4 linked regions of the Lepisosteus oculatus genome follow. The protein of the gene in region 2 purifies or fractionates together with the protein of the main gene of each other region. This does not show direct contact. Links are inferred from orthologs where the notes say so. Each region holds a gene or a part of one and is shown on either strand. Other genes may lie near its edges.

Region 1 (7,385 bases), on a different chromosome or scaffold from region 2:
TTGGCCGCCGCGGGCTGTCATCGCTGGGCAATAGCGCGGAGCGCCGCCCGCTCAATCCAACAGTTCAAACACGCCTCTCCTCCCATTCACCGGCAAATCTGGACGCGTATCCGAAAGCTCCCCGATCAAAAAAAGCAAAATCGGCTTTGTGTACAAGCGGGGCGCCACAGGAAGCCCGTGCTTGCTGTCGATATAGTGTTACACGGACGCCCGGGCCAGCTCAGCAGCTGAGGCACCTCGTCACGTTCCGGCGGCAGGGCGCATCGCAGTAACTCAATACTCTGCGATTCTCCTCTGCTCCAAACGCAGTTTTTCTTCATTTATTCGTTGTTTGTTCCCCCCCAGCTCACTGACTGGTAGCTCCCTTCGAAACGGGGACGGCGGCTGGGGGAACGGGTCATGTCCCTCCGAGTTTCGCACCATTTCGCGGCCATGTGCGTAAATATCTGCCCTGTGTGAGATCTGTTCACGCTGCTCATGTTTATGAGGAACTAAACTCTTGACAGTATGCCGCAAAGAAACGCAAAAATATCGACCAAGTCGGACGCCACTGAAAGCTCGCGATTTCCGGCAGTGCCGACAGCGTCGCCGAGCAATCCGAGAGGTATTGAACAGTATTACCGAGGTGATTGATAAAAGCGGGACCGGTTCGTGCGGCCGGAGGCGTCACTTTCGCCCAGGCCGCCGTTTCCATTTTAGAGCTCGGCGCGGAGTCTCGGTAGAACCGCACAACCGAGCCCCTTTAAAACAAGTGGAGCATTCCTTGTTCGATCAGACAGTCGGTTCAGGCAGCAGTGTTTTGCAACATTTTGAAAAGTACACTCATCTGAATCTCTTTTTGGAGTTGCGTTTCACGCCGTTTCACATTACACAGGGAAGTGGCCTCTCCAGTATGACCTCCACAGTAACAGGTTAAAATAGTCGACATACAGATTCATACTGCAGCCCTCAGAATAACTAGGTAACCAAAATGTTTCTTCTGACCGCCCCAGTACTTCCTCTCCCCTGACAGGAACAAAAGCGAGCTCTTAAATACATACCTCTCGCCCTGCTTCATTAATGTGACATCTGGGAAGCTACAACACAAAACGGAAAGGGTAAATAAGTTACTTCCGTTCAGCCATGAAACCAGGCAGCTTATATGCCAGCAGAGGGGAAACTGGCTTTGCAACAGGAGAAGGATGAGCTTTGAACTGAAACTGCAGGAGCAGTTATGGATCCGAGCTCATAACTGCAAGGCTTCAGCCTCTGCAGTTTCCTGAAACAAGATTTCTAGGTTCAAACCTTGGATGAGGCATTGAGGTCTGTGTGCGAGGCCTCTCACTTGGATTGTGAGAGTAAGCCACCAAGCTGTATCAATGAGTATAAAACTCGTTCTCTTTGCATAAAACCATCAGATAACCTAAATCAGAAGAAATCCCAAAGTACCACAACTGTTCCGGCAACAAAATGATGCCTTATGACGAAGGCCCTTTGACTGAAACACTGTTGAATTCGTCTTAGTTTTCAAAAACCTCTCCACTATAACATCACAATTCTGCACCTCTCAATGTAATGGTTTTGGGTAGCCTTGAGGTTTGTCAAACTGATCACAGATATAGAACCCGTCGATCAAAAAAAGAGAAGATCAACGGAAACAAAAGTACGATATCAGTGGTGTGGTTGACAATGACGATGACAAAATGCTATTAAACAGCAAAAAGCTGCTCTATCAATAAGAGCTGATGCATATCTATACAAGTAAGACACAGTGGAGCCTTCTGTCAGTCACTTGATCCCAGAGAAGGCCAAGGTTACTTTCTTAAAAACCGTTGAAAGGTAACAAATGAGAGGCCACTCGGCCCATCTTGCCTGTTGGACAGGGATTGACCCCGTCCATCTGCCTCGTGAAAGAAACTGGGGCGTTGGCACAACGACATGGCTGGGTAGCTGGTTCCACACCCACCCAAATCTGTGGAATAAAGAAGCACGTCTTTCTTGCACCGTGCTGCTGCCATTACCTCTCCTCTTCTCGCGACCACAGGGGAGTCTTGGGGATCTGGCCTTCGAAATACTTTGATGCTTTGTAACAAAAGTTACTGCAGAAACACTGAATGGGGGGAAAAAAAACAACTGTGTATCAAAACACAGGTCACACTTACATAGCAATTTATTTAAAAAAAATCATCCTTTATTTTCAGATACTTTCTGCAGCTTTTAGTGAAAGGAGACAAGAGGTGTTGCTCCCATTTCTTGCTGGAGAATCCAAAGTCTTTCACCTCCGAACTAAGAGGGGAGCACAAGACAGCACAAAGAGAGCGTCACGCACTCTTCAAGCACAGGACACAGGAGAGAACTCCGCTGTGTGTTCTAGAGTTGTCAAATCCACAAAGATTATGACAAAAAGCCACCCAAAACATTCTGCCGGAGTATTTTTTATTAAAAAAATCAAAACAAAATAAAGCACCTTACCTTCCGTTCTGTGATGTCATACACTTTATTCGTTCTGGTTGAAATTTTGTACTGCTGCTTGGGAACCTGTCATTATGAAAAAAGAAGATACATATATAGAGATTTGACAAAAGGGGATTTTAGAAGACGAACACATTTCTGGTAAACAAAAGAGACAATGTTTAATGTCTCATAGATGTGTCTGAGCAGTGTGAGGTCTTACGTTCACAAGTTTGTTCTGACAGACAGGGTAGCCACACAGCTTGACTATAGATCTCTCGTCCACGACGTCTCTGTAGTTTCCTGGAGTAATGGACTTTGCCTGGAATGATAAATAGTGACCCATTAGGCAGACGGGCAGCAATTTTGCACTACATTACACACACTGCTCCAGATGCGTCTGTGCCACAGCTGTAGTGCAGGTCCGTTGGCCGCAGCTGGTAAACCTGACCTCCCCTCTGTGATGCACTCTCCGAGAGCGAAGGTCAGCCTAAACAGAGGCCAACAGACGGGGTGCGGAAGCCCTGCGGCCCCAGGCGAGCGACTCTCATCTTTTCATCCGGTCCGCTTCGGGAATCGGCCTCCCGCCACCTCGGATCTGAGCGCCATCACGCTCCCCACTCCCCCTCCCTCCGCCCCTCGCGCCCAGAGCAGCGTGGGGCGGGAACGTGGAGGCGGCCCCCTGCTCCAACCCCACGCTCCTCGCGGCACCTGTCCGCTGCGAGCCCGGGCCCCAGGGGGAGCCGAGGGCAGAGCGAGGCAGCACGCGGCCCCCCGGGAGGACACCCACGCAGCCCAGCAGGAAGTCCTCCGTCACGCTGTCCTCCAGCAGCTCCTCCACCAGGCGCAGGGCCCTCTGCTCCAGCTGCAGCTTCCTCCTCACGGCCTCCTTCAGGGCCTCCTTCCTGCGCGGGGTCAAAGGAAGGGGCTGTAAACCGAGGCCCAGGCTGGCTCAGGTACGACCGCTTCATCGCAAGGTATGGAGGGTGGGAAACAGTGTGAAACACGGTGCGGTTGAAACGAAATGGTTCTATTTCTGAGCCACCGAGTGCGGCTTTCATGTAGCAATGGTTATATCTGGAAATGAACGAAATAGACTAAATAACTTCACACTGAACCGAAGCCCGTGGAAGAACAATGGACATAAGACTGAGGGAAAGGAAGTAGGAGCCCCTTGAGGTACTGACTGTCAGAATGGGTCCCATTTCTGCTCAGTTTAAGTTTTCGGGTTTTTCACGTTGCTGTCATGTCCCAACACTGCACAAGCCCCGCAGTCCAGTACCTTTTAGCAGCTTCCAAGGCTGTCTGCGCCTTGACCGCTGTCCGACCTGCAAAACACACGCATTGGGTCACTGCTAACGGACCGGCCAAGCGCTCACACCTCCGCGGACGCGCCCTGCTGAGCACGGCCACGTGTTCCCGTCAATAATCAGGGAACAGAAGACCGTTCACTGTACGCGTCACGTCCGGATCAGCTGTGAAGGGCGTGCTGTGCGCCCGCGGGCTTTCGCGGAGGAGCTGCAACGCTGCCTTTAAGGTTGAACTCCAAGGCTCAGTTCAAAGGTCGCTACGAGGGGTAACACGTGTAAGAAACAAGACCTCTAGCACAATTCACGCACCCAGGAATGTGCTCTGCTTCGGTGTTTCGACAGTGGTCTACAGAAAAACGAAAACCTTATTTATACCTTCGGCTTCAGACAGAGAAACGGCGCACTCTGTGCTCCAGAAGGGGGTGTACTGGGCGGGGCAGTATTTCAACCCGTCCCTCTTAATCACTGAGCTCCCAGTGCCTGATGTGGCAGAGGTGAACAGCACAGGGGAGGGAGGGGGGAATAAAACTCTGCATTAAGCCGACTAACCTTTCTTTCCAGGTCCCGCTGACCTGCCGGCTGCTCCCCGACACTCTTCCATGCTTGTTGTTCTTCCGCTTCACCTTTGACCCGTGACGTAGGGCGCTACGGCTCGCGGACAGGGCCAGCGCCGGCGCGCGCACTTCCTAAATACACGCGCCGCTCCTGCCTGTCTGTAAGTACAGCGCCTTGCACAGAGCAACACCGTGTCTCTGCTCTCTGTCTGCTACACGATGGGTAATAATAGCTGGTAGTCAAATTAGATCATCAGTCACGCATGTGTCCGGGAAAGACAGAGGTCTGTCGTTTTGATACAGTTGCCCTGCCATGACAGCGCTTCTTTGTTTTGGTCTTTCGCGCAGCATCATGAAAATGTGGCGACATGCATTCGTGATATTTTTATCGTCCAGGATAATTAGGCGCAAATAAATCGTTCAGCTGTTTTTAGCCCATAGCCACGTGGTTGGCAGACTTTCGCAGACTTTGACGTGCATTCCAGACGCGAACTACGATCATCATGCTTTTCCACTTGATGATCTTGCTAAATATTCAGTCGTTGTGAGTTGTGTGCAGTGACTTGTTGTCTGTAACTGTTTGCAAATAATTGCTCTTTTCTAGATGTTTCCGGGGACACCGGGGACAGCTATTAGTCCATCTTTAGGACAGGCAGTGCTGCTCCGTGCTCGGTAAATCCTATTAATCCGCACACAATAGAAGGCAACACAGTAAGAGGTTTAAGACCTCTCTGCTGACCTTGTCGGTACCGGCTTTGCTTTCTGTAGACAGATTACCTGGGAATCGCCCGCAAGAGTAAAGAAACTTTTAACAAATATCAGGGAAAAAGAAAGACGGCGCTGATTAAAATGTGGTGTCTTGTACTTCTTTTATCAAACTATCGGAAGGAATAGGATAGGAAACTCTCCTCAGTTCAGAGGTCAAGACAGCTAACGTGCGTTGGCATGATTTGGCTTAAAACGTGTGACTGGGATCCACTAGGGGCAGTGCTGTGGGAATACGGGTATGGTGGGGTTAGTCGACTCTCTGTGACCCCGCGACCCCTGTGACCTCCCAGGTGCAGTTGTTGGGGGACACGTCCCCCCAGAGATTGCTGCTGAACCTCAGATATAGGGCTGTGCTGCTTGTACCCTGTTATAAACGCACAATTACATAAATCCACATCAGGGTGTCCAAGATCACTGGCGGTTATCATATTACAAATGTCTGATGTTTACATTTCAATTTCAGTTCACACAAAGACACGGTTCGAGTTGGGAGGTATTTCAGGCACCTGTGACTGTTCAGCATGTACGTCCAATCCCCCTCAAATGACACGCCTGTCCACATTTCAGGACAGCTGGCATGCGTTGACCAAATGTGGCTTAAAAGTTTGCGTTGAGCTCTGTGGTCACGGGTTCGAACCCGAGTTTCAAATGTCTCTTTTTAAACCCTGTAGGTGCTGGCACTGAGGGGGGCACCTGGACCTCAAGACGCTGAAGATGGCCTTAGAGCAGCTATATGACATGTTGCAGAGATGTGTAAGTACCGTCAATGAAGCGGTTCTGTAGTAATAGCTTTCACTGCTGAAAATAACTTTTTAAAAACTTTTCCCAGCCGTTTGCTTCAGTACCTGCTATTGATAAGATTCACTCAATAATTCCACCAAAGGAAACCTCTCAAAACTCTTAATTTCAAGATTTGGGATGACTCTTCTATGTCTGCGTAAGTCGATGTGCTGCTAATTTGGTGCTCCTCCAGCTTTACACCCTCCCTGCCTGCTCCCTGTCTGCAGCAGGTGCTGGCTGACGACAGCTTCAAGCCGGAAGACTACGAGCAGTTCCAGAGCGCGGGCCGGGCCTGTCTGGAGCGAGGGGGCGCGGCACAAGTGCTGGAGGTCGTGCAGGATGAGAAAAACAAGGTCCGCCTGCACATGCCGAGCTGAATGGTGCACGTTACGTCCAACTCCCGAGCAATACCGAAACAGAGCTCTGACAGCACTGGGAGCAAGGCTTTCAAGATGTCCCCACCAAAGTAGTTTGAAGGGGAGGAAAGCACATGGCTGCTCGGTACTTGTAGTGTCCCCTGAAGATTTCGGGTTCTAACAGAAAGGCATAAGAGCGCAGCACCTAGGCTTTGCTGCAGGGTTTAAGAACTGTTCCATGTGCCTGGCAGTGAGAGCCACAGCCTGCGCCATGGCTGTTACACCCTGCTGTTGATCCTGAGGTGCCAGCGGAGAGCTGCAGGAGAGTGTCTGATTTCTCGCTCCACTGGTGTCCTTCAAGGGTGCTCCAGTGTTAAACGGTTTTCTTGTATTTAAACTGCCTGGTGTTCTAATACTGGCTGTCTGCCTTTCACAAAGGAGCAGATGCTTTTAAAAGGCACATTTTCAAAATCCAATTGCTTCAGAGCACAAATCAGAGGTCTCTTAAAACACCAGGCTGTAATGGTAAGTCACTTATAAAAATGAGAAACGTCACATATGGCAGTGGATTGATTTATATTGAACGAGCAAGATTTTTGGTTTTCTGGAAACATCTTGCACATCAGAGGAGAGAATTAAAACCTGTGCCGCTGCTGTAGCAGGTGGGCTTGCAGCTTGTGAAGGGGAAACAATAGCAGGGAGACGCTGGATTTCTTAGCAGGGCTGAGAGGGATTCGTTCCAGGCCCTCCCTGAGGCGCCCGGGAACGAGGTGCCGACACCTGCTGTCGTATGTTTGAACCGGTAAATGTGCAAGTTTGAAGTGCAGGGGACCCATTAAGGCCCAGACACTGCCGGTTCGGGCCTGTTTCCGGATGACTGTGACAGGCGGTCCACCAGGAAAAGCCTGGCCAACAAGGCCAAGCCCCCTGCAGCAGGGCAGCGAGAGACACACAGCGTCTACAGGGGCAGGTCGGTCTCCGGTCAGGAGCCGTAAGAAAGGGCAATTTAGGATGGGGTGGGTACGTCATCAGAAATATTGGTGAATTAATGATTTGAGGAATTAAAAAAGGCGTCCGATGCGGCGTGGCCCTGAAGAGAACTGTCCTCTTGCAGGCGATCGTGAGGAGCATGGGCTGGAACCTGCTGGGCCCGCTGGTGCAGGTCATCTTGCAGAAGGATGAGAAGA
Region 2 (7,626 bases):
AACAATTCTTCAGAGGTGAACCACTTTGGTTGGCTTTCCAGATAATCCTCAGGTAATGACCCCTGACCAGTAACTCCCAGGCCAATAACTAACTCCGTCCCACTTTCGACAACATCCATCAGCTGAAAATGCCCGGAAGCAGTATGAGGAGCTTGGCGACACACTGAAACCACAGTCAACAGGCTAAAGGACTCCGGAGGGGATCTGTTTTGGTTTTGTTTATATAACAGATGCGCAGTCTACGCATGCTGACGCAGCTACCCACCTGAACTATAACAGAGGTGCGTTGCCGGAGTATTAATCATTTAACTTTCTCAGAGGAAACTGAGCCTAATAAACAGTACGTATTTACACAAGAACAGAGGCAACTGACATTTCGAGAAAAACGCAGGTGTGGAGTCCCCACTACTACAGGGAGACGCCGCCGCCTGAACTGGCCCGTCAATCGCGTCAATGATCCCCTAGAGTCATTTACGGTGCGACACGACCTGGGTGCCTCTTCGGCTTCAGCTCTGCAGCGTGCAAAGCTGCTTTCCCCAAGTGTCCATAACCGGCAGGAAAGCGAGCCAGGACCCCGAGGCACCGTCCGACACTCCGGCCCCTCGCCTTCAAAACAGGGCAGGAACCGGCCGGGAAAATGGATCTCCACCTTCCTCTGCGTTTTCCATTTGTAGCATTCCGGTTCAATGGACACTTGTTATTCCAGCTTCGTCCATGTAAGGTTTGTCTGGATTTGCATAACGTCTGGACACAACTTACAGTATTTCCCCCGTGTCCTTAATTAACTAGAATTCGTTATCCATCACCTGACCAAATGCGGGACTCTGCGCTCAGTAATCGGTAACAAATCAGTAACACTGATGTTGAGGGTGCAAAAATACTTGTCACTAACTGACAAAAACCAAAAAATGCAGAAAGGCAAGACCTTTTACCGTATCTATTATTATTTTCCAGGGATCCCTTGTATCAGTCCTTAAATCAGTAACGTTTATAAGGGGGCAGGCGATGAAAAGCGTGTCGGCAGCAAACTGACCGCAACACGGTGTCAAATGTTTCCAACAGAGTTTTATCCAGGCCAGCCTCAAGACCTCAAGCCTCAAACGAATATTAAAAGAACCCGTCTGGTTTCTCGTCTCCGGAAAAAAATATATGAATTGAAGCTTTTGGGAGGGAATAAAAAAGACTGCCCGTAGCCCATACATGTGTATGTATGTACAGAAGTGCTCTCTTAATTGTGCTGGTGTTGCTGGGTATAAGGTACAGTACTGTAGCTGCACTGAGTCCAGCACCGCACTACAAGCTCATGTATTTGGAGAAACTTCTGACCTGTGTAGCTTCGTGTAGGTTTACATCGCTCATTCAATACAAACGGCCCTATTATTGGGTATATTGAGGACATAAAGAAAAAGAAGAAGAAAATGTGAGCAATTCACACACACCCCCCTATGTGTAAACGTTGCACGAACATCCTCTCTAGTGCAGTGGCTCTTAGCCCGGGCTGCGAGGCATGCCGGGTTTGTGAAGAAGGTAAAACGAGCGGAAAAACACCAACGATTTCTCGGTTTTCGGGGACGGGTGCGGGGGCTCAGAGCCGCGACTCCTTCCCGAGCCCGGCAGGCAGGAGGGCGACGGGTCCGCTCCGCCGGACGGCGTCCAGGAAGTTCAAGCCGAGTTGGGAAATAACGAGTGCCGCCTGGACGAATGGCGACCTCTGCGGCACCCTTTCTAGAATGTGCACGGAATTAACTTCCAACTGTTATGTAATAAGGCCACACACACACACACAAAAACAAAAACAACAACCACCTCACCGACGCTCAGTCACGCCAGTGTTAACCACTACAATCCCGGGCATTTAAAGTCATCCTGAAGCGCTGAACAGCTCAAGCTCGTTTAGAACCAACCTACTGTAGTTGGCTACATTTTTTACTATTTTTTGTCAAAAGAAATGTTTAAGGATACATTATAGCCAGACCGTTTTTTTTGTTTTAAAAAAAAACTGGGCTTATTCCGTTTATCCCACATGTGCCAATTGCCAGCCGTCGCCAAGCCTGGCTGCGGACAAACCTGCGGACCCGCGTCCTTCTCCGCCGGACCTACCTTTGAAGTTTTTAATGACTAGTTTCTTGGAGGCCCCCGGTTTGGAGGCGAGCGTGGAAGTTTTAGTGAGGCCGTTGGTGTGCTCGGCCAGCGCGGAGAAGTTTGCCTTCGTGCTGTGGCGGATGTCTTCTGCCATCGTTACAGATGGAGGGCACGGACAGCGCAAGCGAAGACTTTCCTCCTCTGAACTGGGTGCAAAGTGCCCGAGTAATGGTGTCTCTTAGAGGAAGTCTCTTGGAAAATTGTTAGGCTTGCCGTTATATCATGCATGTGTCCGGTGTCCCGAATGCCCGATCCTTGACAGGTCGCTACAATGGGCTTTTGTCACGTACTCCTCCAACATTACTTCCTCGCCATGAGCCTCCTGGAACCTGTTAGTATGAATTTATTCTCGTATAGGTGCAGCAAGAAGTACGTTGCACTTGACCGACGCGCAAAAAAAAAAAAAGGACAAAAACTATCTACAGTCTGTGGCAGGTACATCCACGACTCCCTGCTTCTCTGTCGCTAAAAAGTTAGTCATTATACCATCGCCAGTTCTTTACGGATGTGGAAACTCCACTCTATAAACTCCACTGAACAATCTCAGCAGCTTCATCTTTGGAAAACAAATACCAACAAAATGGCTTCTTTCTCCACCTCCTAGCCAGTGCATCTTGGGAGGATTTTTTTTTCCTAGTCTGCACTTGACAGTAGTTCAAAAAGAAATTAAAGGGATACAGTTGCACCAGAGAGTTTAGGTCTGGACTTGTAAAACCCCCCGAAACAGTTTTTCCGTATCTTGCAATGCTCCTGCTATATCCTTACAGTCCTTTTAAAAAGGGGGGACACCGCGTTCAGAAGACTTAGAATAACTTACTCATTGGGCATACTGAACACGGACGCGATGCCACCAACTCGGACAATATTGAGGCAAAAAAACGTGATCTGAGCCATTCACACTGGATGACAGCATTAAGATTCGCCGTCACCACACATCATTTGCATTTTGCAAGGCGTCCTAAGCACAAGCAGAACCTTTCATGAATGCATTTTAGACTTCGCATACACCTTACTAAAAATAAAAAAAACGCCCGGCGCTGTACGGCACAATCAGAGTGTTTGAAAGTTACTGTATAATTGTGAATGCTGTGTCTTTAACAGGTAGCGCGGTCATGGACGCTGCCAACAGGAAGCAGATCGTGCGCATGACCTTACGCGCCTGCCTGCTCGCTGCAGGACTGTGCAGCAGCGGTTCACGTCGCGGAGAAGCATCTCTGATGCCGAGACAAAAATAGGACTGGAAGTGCAAAGTACGTGCAGGGTTGTGTTCATGCGAATAGTGAGTACTCCAACTTGAAATTAAAACGCGTCTAGTGACCGTGTAACTGAGGAGGCATCGCTACCGGTGGGGTTTTTTTTTTCTTTTTGGAAACGTCAACGGTTCCAAACGTCGTTGAATGACTTGACGGTATGACTGTGTTGTCGTGCCAAAAACTTGCAAAAAGTCCTGGTTCTGCGAAAGAAAACGCAGCATGCGTTAAAGACGCAAACATATGGATGGCGAAGAACGTTAGGGTAATCCATATTTTACCCACAAGATGATTTTTGTATTTGAAGCCGTGTCCTCCTATCCGTTTAAATCACGCATCTCGTGAATAATTTTGGTTGATGTTATAATTATGTGTCCATGCTTGTCGTCTCACAAAAAAAATAAACTATTTTCCCTCTTTCATTAGGCTTTCCATCACGGAACCAACATCAGCGCAGGAAAGAACAGCTTGAATATCTTCAATGGCACACATAACAATAAATCAGTACCTCCAGCAGGTATTGTGTAATTTACGACCTTACAGCTATTCAAAAATATGTTATGAGGCTTGAATGAGGATAGACTTGTGTTTATCGTGAGATAACTCTGCCTCGACTTTCAGTGTCCTCTTCTGGCTGGATGGCAGGAGAGCTGTAAATGAGTTTTGCATCCTTCGTGCCAGGTACTTGAAGCCACCGACACCAGAGACGGAGCATTCTGTGCTGAGCTTTTGTCATTCAAACACCCCCATGTGGCCAACCCCAGGCTTCAGGTAGGATGTTCTGTACTGTCCCAGTACTGGCCCTCGCAGCTGCCAGGAACCTGCGATGAAACATCAACCTGCTCAGTGGTCACGTTGGCCAAGTCAATGTCAGTGACACGACTGCGTGTGCAGCACCGAGTGAATCAGAGTGAGGGACTGGGGTAGATCTAGTGAGGTGCAAGGGTTCATTGAGCTTCAGAGTTGGGTTAAGGTTAGAGTTGGAGTACTGTACAAGCTAAGACAGGGGTGGGTCCCAGGTGGCCCATTCCTTTAAGGTGCTCGTTAAAATTAACTCGTTAATATATTGTTTTGTTGCAACAGTTTCTCTCTTCCCTCTCTGGGGCTGTTAATGCATTTTACTGTACATAGGTTAATAGGAAGACTCCAAGGTGAGGCTATAGTGCTCTGCAGGATTCAGGATGATCTTGCCCAATGATGTGCATGATCTTGGCCTCTCGTAGTGGCACACACTGCAGGTCTTTTATGTTCATATACCGTATGTGCGTCATGTGTCATGGACAGGCCAACCCTGGTTCTGTTGAGCCTCAGTCCAGCGGGCTTTGTGGGGTATCCTGACAATCTCTGAATGCCTGGAACACATTTGCATTGACTGCTGAAGCTGGGTTTTGTTAAGTACTTCACTGATCAGCTGAAATGGAAATTCAATTGCCCTGCATTCTCATGGGCCACAGCTGGCCATATATTTAACTTACTAAAGAGATCAAAACTCCCTTCACGCACTTGGGAAACTTCTGAATTATACAGGCCAAAATACAGGGGCTTGTGTGGGCTGATGGTACTGTACGTGTCACTGTGCTAATTCTTGATTCTTAGCTCCCCAGCCCCGAGGAGAAGTGCCAGCAGGTCCTTGAACCCCCCCATGATGAAATGGTTGCAGCACATCTGAGGTAAGGCGGGAGGATTTAAGGCCCTGGTACTGTGGTGTATCTAAGTGCCACAGTATCCTAGGGTCTGCCTAATTGCACAGTGACATAGTCAAATTAAAGCTGACCAAGAGGTGGGTTGTCAAAGAAGCTTAGGCAGTCTGTTCATTATTCTGAATTATGCTGGTCATGCAGAAACAAATAGTTTTGAAATTCACAAAATAACGCCCAACAACGTCAGTACAACAGATTTGGAGTTGCTTTCAGTGGGAATGTAGCACAGAATTAAGTATTTGCTTGAGGATGCTGTAATCCTTCTGTTAATCCAGACCTTGTGTCCTTTTCTTTCTCATTCCAGGTGTACATATGCTGTAGCAAATCATGACTTTGTGGAAGCATACAAGTGCCAGACAGTAGTGGTCCAATATCCTTTAATACAGTATGGTTTGCAGTACCTTTCAAATACCTGCAAACTTTTTGAATTAATCTTAGACCATTTGAATGCTATTTACATCAGTGAACAGAACTTTACTGAGAATAAGTACATTAATCCTTTGCTGAAGGATTGATTGAATTAGTTTATCATTTGCATCAGAGAAAGCCCCCAAAAAGCATTGTGGCATCATCAAAATAATGATGCAACCTCATACCGAAAAGCTGCATCAATACAATTCTTTTTAAGCCACGGGATGTTGTCAAAACCTCTTTATGGTATTGTCACGGCCAAATAGCAGTAACAAAGAGCTACCGTATAATTCACTTGGCAGCTCGAGATAAATGTCTTGCATTTTGTGAATGTGGCTGTTCTGTGTGATACAGTAGAAAAATATTCTTCAGAAATGCATTGAATTTGAGCGAAAAGATTTAGACACAGTGTCAAATCTGTACTTTTATAGTGCAGTGATATTTGTGATATGCACTTTAATCCTGGATATTAACAGCTGCTTCTTTTTCCTTAATGTTTTACATCATTTTTAAAAGCATTCCAGGCTCACAAGGAAGAAAACTGGTAAGACCTAGCAAATCTCATCTATACATTTAACACATTTTACAAACGTCTTGATGCCGGCATTATTTGAATAATACATTCTTATTGTTGTAACATTTTTGAATCATCAGTTGCTTGCCAAAATGTAAAATCAGACAACTGATCCAAAGATTTTTCAAACTCAACATACTCAAGATTGTAACTTTGGGCTCACATCATCAGCAGGTATGAGTATCATTCGGTTCTTCTTGAGTTTATTTGAATGATGCAGTTTTCAAAGTTTGGTGCAGTGCTCACGTTTGTGTGCAAGTAAGGATATGCAGTAAAGTAAATCCACGGACAAATAATTGCTTTCTTATGGGAAGGTTTCTCTTGTGAGTCCACTGAGACAGAATGGGCAGTTTCCATTCTCCTGCCTCAGAGCTGGGCTTCATGTGCTCCTTACATCTTTTTCTAGTTTCTCTCCATTATTTCTGTTTTCTGGAGATCCAGACCAAGCAGTAATTGTAGTAGTAACCCTAACCTGAACTCAACTGATGCCATAATCCCCCTCTTACGTTGAGTTCTGTGGCCTTAGTCTTTGGTCTCTTATTTAGCCTGTTTTTTCCAGGGCCCTGCCAATAATGTATGCAGTGGGATTAGACCTCCGCATCTTCGCCAACAATGTAAGTGGTTGTACTGTAAATGTGTTCTTTCGTGATGTGACCGTAGCTGGTGTTCAGTGAAAGCACTCTTTGCAGTCTTCTTCCGTGGGGCAGTGCAGTAGAGGTGAGGAAAGTGTTATCCGCGGTGTTCACTGGGCCAAGAGCAGCATCGAGTGCTCGGGGGAGGGGGGGGCGACTTCTCGGCTGGAAATCTCGCGCCGCAGTCCGCCCGCAGGGAGCAGAAAATGTGTGTGCCTTCCCCAGGCGGAGCAGCAGCTGGCTAAGAAGGGCAAGGGCAAGGTGGGGGACATGCTGGAAAAGGCCGCCGAGCAGCTCATGAGCTGCTTCCGCATCTGTGCCAGCGACAAGTAAGCCCCGCTCGCTGCGCGTCGTTTCCTCGTTTCGTGCTGAAAAGGAGAGCAGACTCCCGCCTGAAGAAGGCTCCGCGGCCGAAGCGCTTTGTCTCTTTCCTTTTTCGGCACGGAATAGACCTTTACTCGTTCCTTTGCAGCCCACGCATGCTGACGCAGCTCCCCAGAACTAGGAACGTGTCTTATTGATTTGTGGGTTTTTGTCTTCTGGTAGCTCTTTTTTCTGCTGTGTGTGGGGGGGAACAGTAGACTTCATATAGCAGTGGTGTGCAGTCTCGGAGCTTTTCTTTCTAGAATTCTCTCTAGAATTGAGCCTTTTCCGATACCCAGGGGCAGCGGTTCCAAGTCCTGGTCCTGGTGACTTTCACACCTGCTGGATTTTATTCCAGTGGAGCCCGCAGTTACACAGTCAAACCCTGCATTGACTTCATCATAGTAAGACCAATGTGAACAGTCTGTTCCCAGCTCTTACACATGTTGGAGCTTTAACCGGTGTGCAGGGTCAGCCAAAATGCTGTCATCAACCTTGACGGTTTATTACAAGTTAATGACTTGGGTTACTGTGACAAAAAAGGTTTCAAACGA
Region 3 (6,935 bases), on a different chromosome or scaffold from region 2:
AGTGTCTGGACAGTGTGTCCACACAGTGTGTCAGTGTGTTCTCCTAGACTCAGTGTCAGTACAGTGTGTCAGAGTGTCTGGACAGTGTGTCCACACAGTATGTCAGTGTGTTCTCCTTGACAGTGTCAGTACAGTGTGTCAGCATGTCTGGACAGTGTGTCTGCACAGTGTGTCAGTGTGTTTTCCTAGACTCAGTGTACAGTGTGTCTGGACAGTGTGTCAGTGTGTTCTCCTAGACTCTGTGTCTGTACAGTGTGTCAGTGTGTTCTCCTAGACTCTGTGTACAGTGTGTCAGTGTGTCTGTACAGTGAGTCAGTGTGTCAGTGTTTCTGGACAGTGTGTCAGTGTGTTCTCCTAGACTCAGTTTCTGGACAGTGTGTCAGTGTGTCAGTACAGTGTGTCAGTGTGTTCTCTTAGACTCAGTGTCTGGACAGTGTGTCAGAGTGTCTACACAGTGTGTCAGTGTGTTCTCCTAGACTCAGTGTCTGGACAGTGTGTCAGTGTGTCTGTACAGTGTGTCAGTGTGTTCTCTTAGACTCAGTGTCTGGACAGTGTGTCAGGATGTCTGGACAGTGTGTCAGTTTGTTCTCCTAGACTCAGTGTCCCTGCAGGAAGCCCGTGAGAGACACAGTGCTGCACTCTTACCTCCTCAGTAGGTACGCCAGCACTTGCGCTAAGTCGACGTCCTCCTCTGCTGCGGACCCTCTGTCGCTCTGCTCCTCTGCCCCTCTGTCCAACTGTCTCCTCGCCTGTCTGCGGCTTTGCTGGCCCCGGTTCTGGCTGCGTTCTGGCTCTGTCTCGTCTGGGTCACCACTGGAGGCCCGACCGGACATCCCAGAACTGGACTGAGAGCCCATAGACCGACACTTTGAGAAAGGTAAAGACAGGAATTAACACAGACACACTGACTGACTGGACACTCCAGTACATTAACACTGCACTGAGAGAGAGGGGTTCATACAGACACACTGACTGACTGGACACTCCAGTACATTAACACTGCACTGAGAGAGAGGGGTTCATACAGACACACTGACTGACTGGACACTCCAGTACATTAACACTGCACTGAGAGAGAGGGGTTCATACAGACACACTGACTGACTGGACACTCCAGTACATTAACACTGTACTGAGAGAGAGGGGTTCATACAGACACACTAACTGGACACTCCAGTACATTAACACTGCACTGAGAGAGAGGGGTTCATACAGACACACTGACTGGACACTCCAGTACATTAACACTGCACCGAGAGAGAGGGGTTAATACAGACACACTGACTGGACACTCCAGTACATTAACACTGCATTGAGAGAGAGGGGTTAATACAGACACACTGACTGGACACTCCAGTACATTAACACTGCACTGAGAGAGAGGGGTTCATACAGACACACTGACTGGACACTCCAGTACATTAACACTGCACTGAGAGAGAGGGGTTCATACAGACACACTGACTGGACACTCCAGTACATTAACACTGCACTGAGAGAGAGGGGTTCATACAGACACACTGACTGACTGGACACTCCAGTACATTAACACTGCACTGAGAGAGAGGGGTTCATACAGACACACTGACTGACTGGACACTCCAGTACATTAACACTGCACTGAGAGAGAGGGGTTAATACAGACACACTGACTGACTGGACACTCCAGTACATTAACACTGCACTGAGAGAGAGGGGTTCATACAGACACATTGACTGACTGGACACTCCAGTACATTAACACTGCACTGAGAGAGAGGGGTTCATGCAGACACACTGACTGACTGGACACTCCAGTACATTAACACTGCACTGAGAGAGAGGGGTTCATACAGACACACTGACTGGACACTCCAGTACATTAACACTGCACTGAGAGAGAGGGGTTCATACAGACACACTGACTGACTGGACACTCCAGTACATTAACACTGCACTGAGAGAGAGGGGTTCATACAGACACACTGACTGGACACTCCAGTACATTAACACTGCACTGAGAGAGAGGGGTTCATACAGACACACTGACTGACTGGACACTCCAGTACATTAACACTGCACTGAGAGAGAGGGGTTCATACAGACACACTGACTGGACACTCCAGTACATTAACACTGCACTGAGAGAGAGGGGTTCATACAGACACACTGACTGACTGGACACTCCAGTACATTAACACTGCACTGAGAGAGAGGGGTTCATACAGACACACTGACTGGACACTCCAGTACATTAACACTGCACTGAGAGAGAGGGGTTCATACAGACACATTGACTGACTGGACACTCCAGTACATTAACACTGCACTGAGAGAGAGGGGTTCATACAGACACACTGACTGACTGGACACTCCAGTACATTAACACTGCACTGAGAGAGAGGGGTTCATACAGACACACTGACTGGACACTCCAGTACATTAACACTGCACTGAGAGAGAGGGGTTCATACAGACACACTGACTGACTGGACACTCCAGTACATTAACACTGCACTGGGAGAGAGGGGTTAATCAGTAATTCGTCTAGTTTCCTCACTCGCCAAAATCGAAACGGCAGTTGTTCAGTGTCAAAATGCTTTCCTTATACTCCTCGACTAATTAACCAAGCTAATTATCTAATCAAATTAAATGTATCGTTATGTTACACCGACGACACGGGAAGACTCGCGTCTATTTCAGTGAATTAATCCCCTTCCGAAAATGACAATCATAAAAAGGCTCAATGAACACTTAACAAGAAACTCAACAGATAAATAGAAAATACAGTACCTGGTGAAATTTGTATTTAGGGCTTCGTTCGCGGATCGCGTTGTTGTCTTGCACGTTCTTCCTTTAACAATCAATAGGCTTATCAATACTAGCGAATCGATACTGCTTGGGTTTTTTTTTATTGTCACTGCTTGAGTTTACGTTAAGGAATAATCCCCAGGTAGGCCCCGGTCTTTTCTCTCCGAGTCGCCATGTTGTTTACATCGACGAGCTTTGCCCCCGCCGCGGTCACATGACCGGCCCATCGCCAAGGACACCCAGCCACCGAAGGGCTCCATTTTGCTTCCTCGTTGACATGGATTGCCAGCGCGCAGTTGGAAACTGGAGCCAAAATGGCCGTCCGACGGGTGGAAGCGGAGCTCCAGAACTGTCACTCTCTGAAGTGACATCAATCCGTCTGTCACCGCATCCCACACGGTGATTGGCTGATCCTGACGTCACCTCGCAGTAAGTGGAAGGATACGGTCCAGTTAATTTATTTTTCCTCTTTTCTGGTAACAAATTCAAGAGTTAACTGAAATGTGATACATAAGTGCAATTAATTTAAATTCATCAGACAATGTGCAATAGATATTGCAACCTGATACATTCTGGGGTTTGACAGTTTCGTACACTGACAAATAGAGAAGCCTATGAGTTTTCCCTTCTTTACACAAAGAGTGGTGGGAGTGTGTAACAAGCTGCCCAGCCATGTTCCTGAAGCCGATACCCTGGCTGCTCTCAAGAAACAGCTGGATGAGATCTTGGGGTTAATGAGCCACTAATTACAAAACTAATTACCAAACAGGTTGGATGAACCGAGTGGCCTCGTCTCGTTTGAGACCTGTCTTGTGTTCCATCCAACTTTATCAGGTACAGGGTCGTGTGGGAGAGCTGCAGCAGGCAAGGGCCACAAGGAAGAACACCAGTCCATCACAGGACACACACAGACACACACTCTCACACACCCTGGACAGGACGCCAGTCCATCACAGGACACACACAGACACACTCTCTCACACACCCTGGACAGGACACCAGTCCATCACAGGACACACACACAGACACACACTCTCACACACCCTGGGCAGGACACCAGTCCATCACACGACACACACAGACACACACTCACACACCCTGGACAGGACACCAGTCCACCACAGGACACACACAGACACACACTCTCACACACCCTGGACAGGACACCAGTCCATCACAGGACACACACACACACACACACACACACACACACACTGTCACACACCCTGGACAGGACGCCAGTCCATCACAGGACACACAAAGACACACACTCACACACCCTGGACAGGACGCCAGTCCATCACAGGACACACACACACACTGTCACACACCCTGGACAGGACGCCAGTCCATCACAGGACACACACAGACACACACTCTCACACACCCTGGACAGGACACCAGTCCACCACAGGACACACACAGACACACACACACTCTCACACACCCTGGACAGGACATGGGTCCATCGCAGGACACACACAGACAAACACTCTCACACACCCTGGACAGGACATGGGTCCATTGCAGGACACACACAGACAAACACTCTCACACACCCTGGACAGGACACCAGTCCATCACAGGACACACACACACACACACACTCTCACACACACACTGGACAGGACGCCAGTCCATCCCAGGACACACACAGACACACACTCTCACGCACCCTGGACAGGACACCAGTCCATCACAGGAAACACACAGACACACACTCTCACACACCCTGGACAGGATACCAGTCCATCACAGGACACACACAGACACACTCTCACGCATCCTGGACAGGACACCAGTCCATCACAGGACACACACACACTCTCACACACCCTGGACAGGACACCAGTCCATCACAGGACACACACAGACACACACTCACACACCCTGGACAGGACACCAGTCCATCACAGGACACACACACACACACACACTCTCACACACACTGGACAGGACGCCAGTCCATCCCAGGACACACACAGACACACACTCTCACGCACCCTGGACAGGACATCAGTCCATCACAGGACACACACAGACACACACTCTCACGCACCCTGGACAGGACACCAGTCCATCACAGGACACACACACACACACACACACACCCTGGACAGGACACCAGTCCAGCTCAGGTGTGATGGAGCCCCTGCAGGAGACATTATTATTATTATTATTATTATTATTATTATTATTATTGTTGTTCTTTTACCAGGACTTGGAGCCCTGCTGTAGACACTAGTCTACAGCAATAACAGATTATTATTATTGTTGATGATAATAATAATAATTGACTGGGAGCCCCTGCTGTAGACACTGGTCTAGCTGCTGTCTCATCATCCAGCTGCACATTGTCCCATATAAGTGTAAGGAATTATTTTATTATTATTATTATTATTATTATTATTATTAATCCAGGACTGGGGGCCCCTGCTGTAGACACTGGTGCTGTCTGGTGGGCAGTGGGCTGTTCGGAAGCTCTAGACACCCGTACCCGTTCCTAAGAGGACTAGACTTGACTTGAGGCCAACAGCTCTGGCTCCATGAGCGAGCAGGACTCTTGAAGAAGCAGGCCAGTCCCATACCATGGCCGCAGTACAGTCAGGTCCCGGCCCCCTCCAGTTGGCCTGCTGTCCTGGAAGGGGAGCCCATGATGCTAAGATTTTTCTTTTAGAAGTCCAGGTCCATTCTCGAGGACCCCAGTCATCCCAGTCACAAACTGTTTTCTCTTACGCATTCGGTCAAAGTCCGACAGATCAGGGAACAGCTTCTACCTCCAGGCAATAAGACCGCTAAACAGCCAAGCTGCAGCTCCTTCAGCAAATCACCTGTACTGGCTACAGGGACACACAGTTTCACCGTATTCAGCATAACTGCACTACTGGGACACACTGTACTGCACACACCCTGGACACAGAGCAGCTCCATTGATATCTATACTGAGCTCTGTCTGACTTTATCTCATTCAATTTCTAGTGCACTGTTATCGATCATTATTTCACCTTATTTTGCAACTTTAATTTTGTGATTCCCCCCCCGTGAGCTTGTAGAACAGACATTTCACTGCCAGCAACTACTGCTGCACGTGGTATTGTTGTGCGTTTGATAAATAAACTCCGACTGATTGATTGAACCTTTGATTGATTCTGTATAAGCACTTAGAATAAATCAGCTGCCAGACTTGTGTTTGCTGTGTCCTCATCAGCCTTTCACACAATGCAGCCACACATTTTGGTTGAAAACCTAATCACAGGTTTCAGATGGGATCATCAGCTGATCATGTGCATCGTTAGTTTTCTGGCCAATAAAACACAAAATGTATCTGTTAATGGTTTGGCCTCTGACTCCATTTGTAGTTCTGCTGGATCACCACCAGGCGGTGCTATTTCCCCCTTCTCTTCCTCTTATATAGCGATGGCGGTAGCCATCGAAGCAACTCTGAAAATCATTACATCACCAGGCCTGCTGGTGAGAGTGTACTAGTGTCCCTCCTCTCAGAGCCTGGATGAGCACACAGACCCAGTCCGGATGAATTCGGCAACTGGTCTGATACTTCTTACCAGGAGATGAAGGGTGGTGTGGTGGCTCTGTGGCTCAGGATCTGCGCCTGTGACTGGAAGGCTGCCGGTTCGAATCCCACGGCTGGCAGAGGAATCCTACTGCCAGGCCCTTCACCCCAGCCCCTCTAAGGGTGCTGTACAAATGGCTGACCCTGCGCTCTGACCCCCAGCTTCTTCCCCTGTCTGTGTGTCTCATGGAGAACAAGCTGGGGTCTGGGAAAAGACAAATTCCTAATGCAAGCGATTGTATAGGGCCAATAAAGTGATCGTATCTTATTTTATAAAGGTGTCAGAAACAAAAGAAATGACTGTTGATTTGAAAAACATCATTCCCACAGCGATCCATGGTGGGGGGTCTGGTGGTGTAGTCCACTGCGTTGGACGATGAACTCAAGTTTCTTGTGGAGTAATCGCATACAGCGCTGGTGTGGTCTGAGACACCCGAACTCCTTCGGAGCCCGCAAAAGACTTCTCTCACCATTCTGTAGCACTTTCATCCAAAAGTATTTTAGATCACATCAGATCACATCAGATCGAACGTCTGCTGGTTCACATCACTCGGCCACCATTGACCAACTCGGC
Region 4 (7,167 bases), on a different chromosome or scaffold from region 2:
GCTCTGAAAAGAGAAAACATGATATTCAGCATCACGACACGTTAGCACCAAACTGAAAAATAGGCTTTCAATCTTTGTAAGCAATCCTCTGACACAGTGCTCTGGAGTTTTAAGCCACTTTGAATGAAATCAAAGAAGGATCCAAAATACTGATCTGTGTATCACTTAAGAACAAGTTTGTATTACAGTTTCCTTTAATAAAAATTGCACACAAAAGGAGGCTACTAAATTAAATCAAATCCCTACCTTAGGGTTCTATCCCCCAAAACTTAAAAAAAAATCAAATCTTCCAACTGGGGCACTTTTTATAAAACAGATTTGCAATCCAATCCAATTACATTTCACATAAAACTTGTTGCAAAGCAATTAGCTGTGGACACTGTTTTGCCTCCCAACAATAAAAAGAAAAAAATCTGTTTATCACAGCCTTTAAAAATCACTTAAAAATAAGTGCCTGGAACAAAAAAAAATAAATAACAGTTGCATCTCCCCAAAAGCACTATTATGTTTATTTGACATCTCTACTTTCTTGGCTAACCAGTTCGCACAATGATTTATAACCTCTGAAGGTTCACAAGTACGCACCCAGATGCAATGTGAATACTTTCGTAGTACCTTACTGGCGAACCTTACTTTGCAAGCACGCACGGAGCGGTCTGTGAGCGAAAGTGCTCGCTGCCGTTCTCAGATTGGAACAGGTACAGAAGCAAGAAAACTGGGCCAACCCCTTCACCAGTCAAAGCCTCTCTTGCTGACGTGTTACTACTGTTGTTCAGTGCAGGCGCTTGTTTACAGATACGAGGGGAGCTCACTCTCGGAGGGCAACAGCGCTCTTGAGTTAACACGTCAGATCTGTTTGCTTTTAACCCCTTTTTTACACGTTTGCGTCTGTGTTTCAAGTGATCGTGAGCTGAAATGTCTCCAGCGTCCGTCCCGTCCCCCCCACAACCCACCCCCGGCCATCCTTTCTGAATGGATGATATAAAAGCGGCGCAGCAAATTTTAACCCGCTCCCTCCCACAGCGAGAACACACGAAGCCCCCCTGGACAACACCACTGTTTCTCCACCAACAAAATCCAAGACAATATTAAATTTAACGCCCTAAGTTTTCTATGCCTGCATTAGGTTTTTGGCCTGTTCTTCTTCAGGATGAGACTCGCCTAGCACTAAAAACCCAGAGATGAATTTAATTCGACTGCACCTGCTGTGTATTAACCATTCCCCGAAAACTACGAAAAACGTTTTTTTTTGGGGGAAAAAAAACAGCCCCGTAACAGTTTTAAAGGCATATTTCAAATGTATTTATTTTAACTACAAACTGTACTACAGCACTGTTGTTTAGCGACGGCCGACGAGAAACATACACTAATGCACTAATGAAATCAACCATAACGTCCTGACCAATTTAGAGACAACGCGACTAGATTTTCCAGAAAATGACAGTTCAGGGAAACATAAAGCTTTTTTTTAAAGCGGCGCGGTAGTGAGTTACGTCTGCGAAAACGTTTATAGTTTTTTACAAGACATTAAAATGACGAGAAGGTACCTTAAAATCTTCACTTCTGTTGCCTGGGGTTGGATTTACTGGGCGTTTGTTCCTCTGACCTCGTTACATTAGGGCTCAGGGCAACTTCATCCACGGTAGTATTGGCCCTTTTATTTTGCGATGAGTCCGCTACAAAAAGGAAAGACAAAATTCACCGATTAGCATTTCTTATTTATTTTTTTAACAGAACCATTTGAGAGGCGGGCAGGCGGTATTTTGGTCCGCCGTCTCAAAATTGGACGCCCGCACGCCACCGCAGGATTTGCATGCCGTAGTAAAAAAGCCTTTCAAAAACAGCAAGGGTGGGAGGTGGGGGGGGGATGTGACGGTGTCACAACTACGTGTGCATTTAAACCTCCAAAAATGAAAAACAAAATACGAAAAACAGCCGGACATGCGATACGTGCCTGCGCTCGGGTCGCCCCCGAAACGCACGCAACTCCACTCGCCTCTCGGAAACACTCCGACGCGGCTCCGATTAGCGCGACATCAAATAAGATACAAGACGAAAACAAAAGAAAACCTCCTCGAATGCGCGCAACGCCTTTCACTTTAAAAACAAAAAATTAAAATCTGGACTTTTTTTTCCCGAAACCGTGAGATCGGCGACCCAAAATAAATACACCCGATATCTTTTTTTTTGCTGTTGTTGTTATTGTTGTTTTGTTTTCTCGTAAACGTGAAGCTGATCTCTACCATGGCTTGCTGATCTTTTCCTCGGCGTAGTGCGCTGGTCCCTGCAATCCGTTTGACTTGCCGGTTTCTCCGCACTGTCCCCGGAAAGCCTGTCCCCAGTGCCTTCGTGACACGCAGTCCCCCCACAGCTGTGATTCCCATTAAGATCCAAACTGATATTCCCAGACGGACAGATGCCCTTCGACGCCCGTGACGGCTTCGTGTAGAATCGCGGTACCTCCGTATCCTCCACAATTTCCCACACGTATCTCCCAGGCGAAAGGGGCTTGTGATTCGCGAAATCGAAATTGTATGTCGCCTTGGACGCCTCTTCCATCTCCTGCAAGTGTCCCTTTAAATCTCTCCTTAACTCTTCGTGATCCACCAGCCCGAAGAGGTTTCTGCAAGCCGACGGCTTGGGGTGATCCGACGGTCTCGCATCCATCCTCTCCAACGTCGGGCTACCATTTGAAAGACGGACATTTGACATTTTTTTTGTCCTCTCTCTCCACGCCAGGGGGAAAAAAAAAACAACAAGAGTAAATGAAAATATATATATATAATTCTGTTCGCCTCCTTCAAATCGATCCGACACGAACGCCAAATATTATTGCAAGCAACAACGCCAGCGCAGGCATGCCGTGATCTGAAAAAGACGTGCGAAAACTGTAACGCGAGCAAAAGTAATCTCCGCAGACCATCAAAACAAAGTGCAGTTGCAAAAGCCACTCCTGTCAATTTAGTCTTGTAGTAAGACGGGGGGGAAAAAAAAAACAGACAAGCCTTTTCAGTACCCAATATGGCGATTGAAGGGAGGCTGACTGAGAAAAAAAATGATTGACACCGAGATCGACTTAAACAGAGAAGGAGATTCATTGGTTAAAGCAAAGCGAGACGCCCACGTTTCTTAAGGTGAGCACCGCTGTTTTTCGTTTCTACGGTCTCTGCAGCTTCGTATCATTAAAAAAAAAAAGCCCAAATGCATCGGAATCTCTTGTTCGTTTGGAAAAATTCCTCCGCGGCGATCTTTAAATCCGCAGATTTCTGATCGGCCCAGCTTTGGTAGGCTTGTTTTGTTTTGGCGGAAGTAGGAATTGTAGCCGGAGGAAGCAAAGTCGCTTCCAGATACCAACAACGTTAATACAGAAGAAAAAAAAAAGGGCAATATCTCCCACTGACCTACAGTACTCTGGAGACGTGAAAGAATAAATGACCCTAATCTCAAGCCGTTTTTTTTTTCTCATGACTTGGCATTAGCAAAGGCTTATAGGTGTTAAACGTGAATAAATTCCGCAGGCGTGCACCACGTTGCATTTTGTAGCAAAACAAGGCGCCCGAAAGGCGATTGGAAACGGGTGGTTTGGGATAACTCCCCTAGTCCACCTTAATGCGTTTTGTTGCTTTTGAAAACTGGGGGCTGCGTGTCTGCAGCAACCTTGCTATGATCTAAAGTGTTTTGTTTACGTATAAGCAAGTCACTCCCCGAGCAGAGAGAGTGATACAGGCGAAGGAATAGTAACCACGAAACGAAAAAGAAAAAGGTATAGAGAGGGTTGAGCGCCATCATACTATGGGTTGGGTAGACGGGGCAGTTATTAGTAGGCTGTTAGCTTGACTGCCACATTTTAGGGTCGATTTAAAGGGGTACGGCTGAACTGTAGTAATGCAATGTTTATGGTGCCGTGCCAATGTACAGTAGGATGCGGTGGAAATGATCATTTTTACTTTTCCTTTATTAGTCCACTACTAATTGACGAAAACCTTGCTCAATAAACGATTTGGCGGAGTCACGTTTCCCGTGGCAAGTAAAAATCTCGGGCAATGCAATAATTGAACATGATTAATTGTGCTGTTTTGTGTAATAAAATTGACTTTTTAGTCTAAACCTGTTACTGAGTGTATCACGGCAGCAAACAACGCGTTGTTCCGTTTTACCATATGAGTAAATAATGAGCTTCATTAAGAACTTGGCGCTCATAAAGCATTTGGTTCACGCTTCCCGTTAAAAGATCCCTTGGATAATAAATGTACTATATTCAGAGAATGGTCTACTATCACTCTTTAAAACTACCGTGTTCTAACACTTTCTCCCATAACTAAAAAAATAAATACATTTAGTAAAAAATTATTTTGGAAAGGGGGGAAAAACTTTGCAAAGACTTCAGGAAAGTCAAAGGTCTAGAATTAGGAACAAATGTTTCCAATTTCGAATCTGTTCTGCGTGTTGAATGTTAGAGTGATTTGGTTTCTCTTCTTATTTCTGTTTCATGCTTATTTAGATTATGTACCATGATAATTAAATACTGCTGTTAAAAGTTTATGATGTCACTTACATATTTTTTATTGCAGTGATACTACTGGCACTGTTGACTTGAGGTCTGTCACGTTTAAAGAGTGGATGATGGTAGCAATTTAAAGCTGTGTCAGTAAGTAATTGACCTTAGGAGTACAGGTTCAAATAAAATGAAGAGACCCTTTGGCACGTGTTTATAAATTTACATTTAGAACATGTTTTATGTCATGTTGCAGTTGTGATGTCTTTTCAAGGGTATATTCCAGAATACAGAAAAAAAAAACTGATTATGGGATTAATTTAAAGCTTTTAACACACCAAATAATGAAACAGTTAAAATGTTAAATCTGTTTTGGAGCTGTTAAGAATGTGGTGTGAGACTGTGATGTAAAGTAACCAAATTTTTCTATCTGTTAGAAGTATAAACAGTGTGTAGGCACATCACTTGATAAAACTTTGTGTAGGTGGATTTAAATATATTGAGATTGTAGCACCAGCTCTTGTTAATAGGTGGTATTCCAGTTTTACCAGAATTTACAATATTGTGGACATATTTTACACCTAAATAAATGTTTCTGTTCTTACTTTAAAACTGCAGGACCTGCTGCACATCCAGTTATATGAAAAATATATTTGTACACTTTACCATTTAACAAGAATCTGGCCTTCAGTATCGTTCAGTTCAAAAGGTCAATGTCGCTGGCACAGGAAATGGAACAATGATTCAGTCGTGTGCAAATGCATTGTTAGTTTGAGAGCTAGGGATAAGGTTAGCTTTAGGACAGTTGTTTTAGTTACAGATTAGTGGTGCCAATAATGAGCATTAATATACTGTAGCTACAGTGCTGCATCAATAACATTTTACGCTACTGAACAGCAGTAATTCTCAGTGGGAATATTACATAAGGGTACAACAGAGAATTAGAATCTAACTTAATGAAATAAGTGGTACAAAGTAAAGTAAGTGGCACAAAAAGCAAAACAATAAATTTAGAGCAAAGTGGGATTTGCCTTTGCAGAATATACAGAATATACATACTATACTTCAACTGGTTCACAGTACATCACCATAAAATTAGAAACCAGAACTAATTTTCGATGTGATTTCAGGGCTGGAGTTTGGTGTTTGTAGGCCCTAGGCACTTTCACTCCAAAAAGATGGATAAATGCCAATTGAAGGACGCCGACTGACATGACAGTACTTTAAACTATTCTGATGCTAAACCACGTGATTGATGGAGCGAGTCGAGAGAACAGCCGCTAGATAGAGTATGACTATTGATTTGGAGCACCTCGAGTCGAGCACAAGCGTGTTGTTTCAGCTCGTTTTTCGTTAGTCACTAGTGTTTCCCTCTTTCGTAGGCCCTAAAAATGTTTCGTAGGCCCTGTGCCTACAGTGCCTAATGGGAGATCCGGCACTGATGTGATTTTGTTACAATAGGCAGAGTTAGCTTTGCTATGCTATGTATGTGCTCAACTCTTGCACAAAGCCCTCGTCATACTTGGCACTGTCTTATCACTGTCAGATTAAACTTTGCTACAGTAAATACTTTTTTATATTGGCATATTCCTCCATAATGATGGCACACAGTAGGCATTGTGCGTGTTGTTTACTCAAAGAGTTTACAAGGTCATAAAGTTGACGTGCAGAAGAACATGTGAGATGAGGTAATGCCCTGGGGGGAAAGAATGCTGATCATGCTGAATTGATCTTTTAGGAGCAAGGAAATGCAGGCAAATATCGATTTGCTTTTTTCTCAACAACATGTCTTTTACGGGCACATTATTTGTTGTAGGCTACAGTTCAATAGGCTGTGTTAAGAGTTGCATTTCTAGCTTCGGCATTATAATCTCTTGACCATAGGCTGTCATAACATGTCTTGTTCTGTATTATTTACTCCTTGGATGCAGTTTGACCTTTTAATGTTTTTTGTTTGTTTGTTTTCTGCACAATAGATTATTTTAGAAATTAGAATAAAGGTCTTGTAAAACCCAGCCATCCGTTTGCTTCATCCAGTACAGGGTTATATTTTGGATGGGACAAAGGTTCATTATAAGGCACAGACAGACACACACTCGCACCATTTTCCCCTGAAGCCAGTTAACCTACCAGCATGTCTTTGGACTTTGGAAAGAAACCCAAGTGAACATGGGGAGAACATGCAAACTCCACACAGACAGCACCCCAGGAATTAAACCCAGGGTCCCAGCACTGCGAGGCAGCAGTGCTAACCACTGTACCACTGTGTTGCCTGCATCTACAATATATAATTATGTTTGTTTATCATAATAAAAGTCTCACTGTATTGTAAATATAGAATAACATTTGGTCAGCTTTTACCAAAGTACACAGTTGTAAACGATGAGTGCATTTCATATCGCAAATTAAACAAAACGGTATGGAAATTACCCCCCAAGAAAATAAGCTATAAATTTGTCTGCTCCGACATGTTTTCTTAAGGGGAAAGAATTTAAAGTGTGCCTTATTGTGCCTGGGAGTGGATTCTATAGACAGTACCAAAGAAATGAAAACATTGATCGTTATATATATATAACTGAAAGTTTAGGGTAAATCAGAATATTAAACATTTTTCAAATGTACCATCGTGCCTCAACGTGACTGTTCAGTGTGCAAAGCATAAATGCAATAAA

The links.
Region 1: the proteins of cul4a (region 2) and glmna purify together in Homo sapiens (affinity purification with mass spectrometry; 5 studies listed by BioGRID and IntAct, counting the BioPlex papers as one, with this or other methods). This does not show direct contact. The link is inferred for Lepisosteus oculatus from reciprocal best matches to the Homo sapiens genes CUL4A and GLMN.
Region 3: the proteins of cul4a (region 2) and dcaf11 purify together in Homo sapiens (affinity purification with mass spectrometry; 13 studies listed by BioGRID and IntAct, counting the BioPlex papers as one, with this or other methods). This does not show direct contact. The link is inferred for Lepisosteus oculatus from reciprocal best matches to the Homo sapiens genes CUL4A and DCAF11.
Region 4: the proteins of cul4a (region 2) and cdkn1bb purify together in Homo sapiens (affinity purification with western blotting; 5 studies listed by BioGRID, with this or other methods). This does not show direct contact. The link is inferred for Lepisosteus oculatus from reciprocal best matches to the Homo sapiens genes CUL4A and CDKN1B.

The regions. Positions count from the first base shown.
Region 1 is NC_090704.1:1,685,415-1,692,799, reverse strand, and holds the start of glmna (glomulin, FKBP associated protein a), read left to right. Parts: upstream 1-4,367; 5' UTR 4,368-4,455; intron 4,456-4,456; exon of another isoform or gene 4,457-4,517; intron 4,518-4,817; exon of another isoform or gene 4,818-4,838; intron 4,839-5,733; 5' UTR 5,734-5,776; coding exon 5,777-5,815; intron 5,816-6,069; coding exon 6,070-6,195; intron 6,196-7,312; coding exon 7,313-7,385. Other genes in the region: putative RNA polymerase II subunit B1 CTD phosphatase rpap2, read right to left, coding at 1,041-1,076, 2,001-2,089, 2,452-2,517, 2,654-2,752, 3,221-3,335, 3,713-3,758, 4,290-4,341.
Region 2 is NC_090710.1:28,725,041-28,732,666, reverse strand, and holds the start of cul4a (cullin-4A), read right to left. Parts: upstream 3,010-7,626; 5' UTR 2,237-3,009; coding exon 2,101-2,236; intron 1-2,100. Other genes in the region: pcid2 (PCI domain-containing protein 2), read left to right, coding at 3,874-3,909, 4,074-4,163, 4,989-5,062, 5,397-5,464, 6,008-6,047, 6,637-6,691, 6,935-7,038. UniProt on the Homo sapiens protein: Core component of multiple cullin-RING-based E3 ubiquitin-protein ligase complexes which mediate the ubiquitination of target proteins. As a scaffold protein may contribute to catalysis through positioning of the substrate and the ubiquitin-conjugating enzyme.
Region 3 is NC_090699.1:14,359,661-14,366,595, reverse strand, and holds the start of dcaf11 (DDB1- and CUL4-associated factor 11), read right to left. Parts: upstream 3,009-6,935; 5' UTR 2,773-3,008; intron 867-2,772; 5' UTR 858-866; coding exon 646-857; intron 1-645. UniProt on the Homo sapiens protein: May function as a substrate receptor for CUL4-DDB1 E3 ubiquitin-protein ligase complex.
Region 4 is NC_090702.1:5,914,513-5,921,679, reverse strand, and holds the start of cdkn1bb (cyclin dependent kinase inhibitor 1Bb), read right to left. Parts: upstream 3,015-7,167; 5' UTR 2,713-3,014; coding exon 2,244-2,712; intron 1,677-2,243; coding exon 1,558-1,676; 3' UTR 1,548-1,557; intron 4-1,547; 3' UTR 1-3. UniProt on the Homo sapiens protein: Important regulator of cell cycle progression. Inhibits the kinase activity of CDK2 bound to cyclin A, but has little inhibitory activity on CDK2 bound to SPDYA. Involved in G1 arrest. Potent inhibitor of cyclin E- and cyclin A-CDK2 complexes.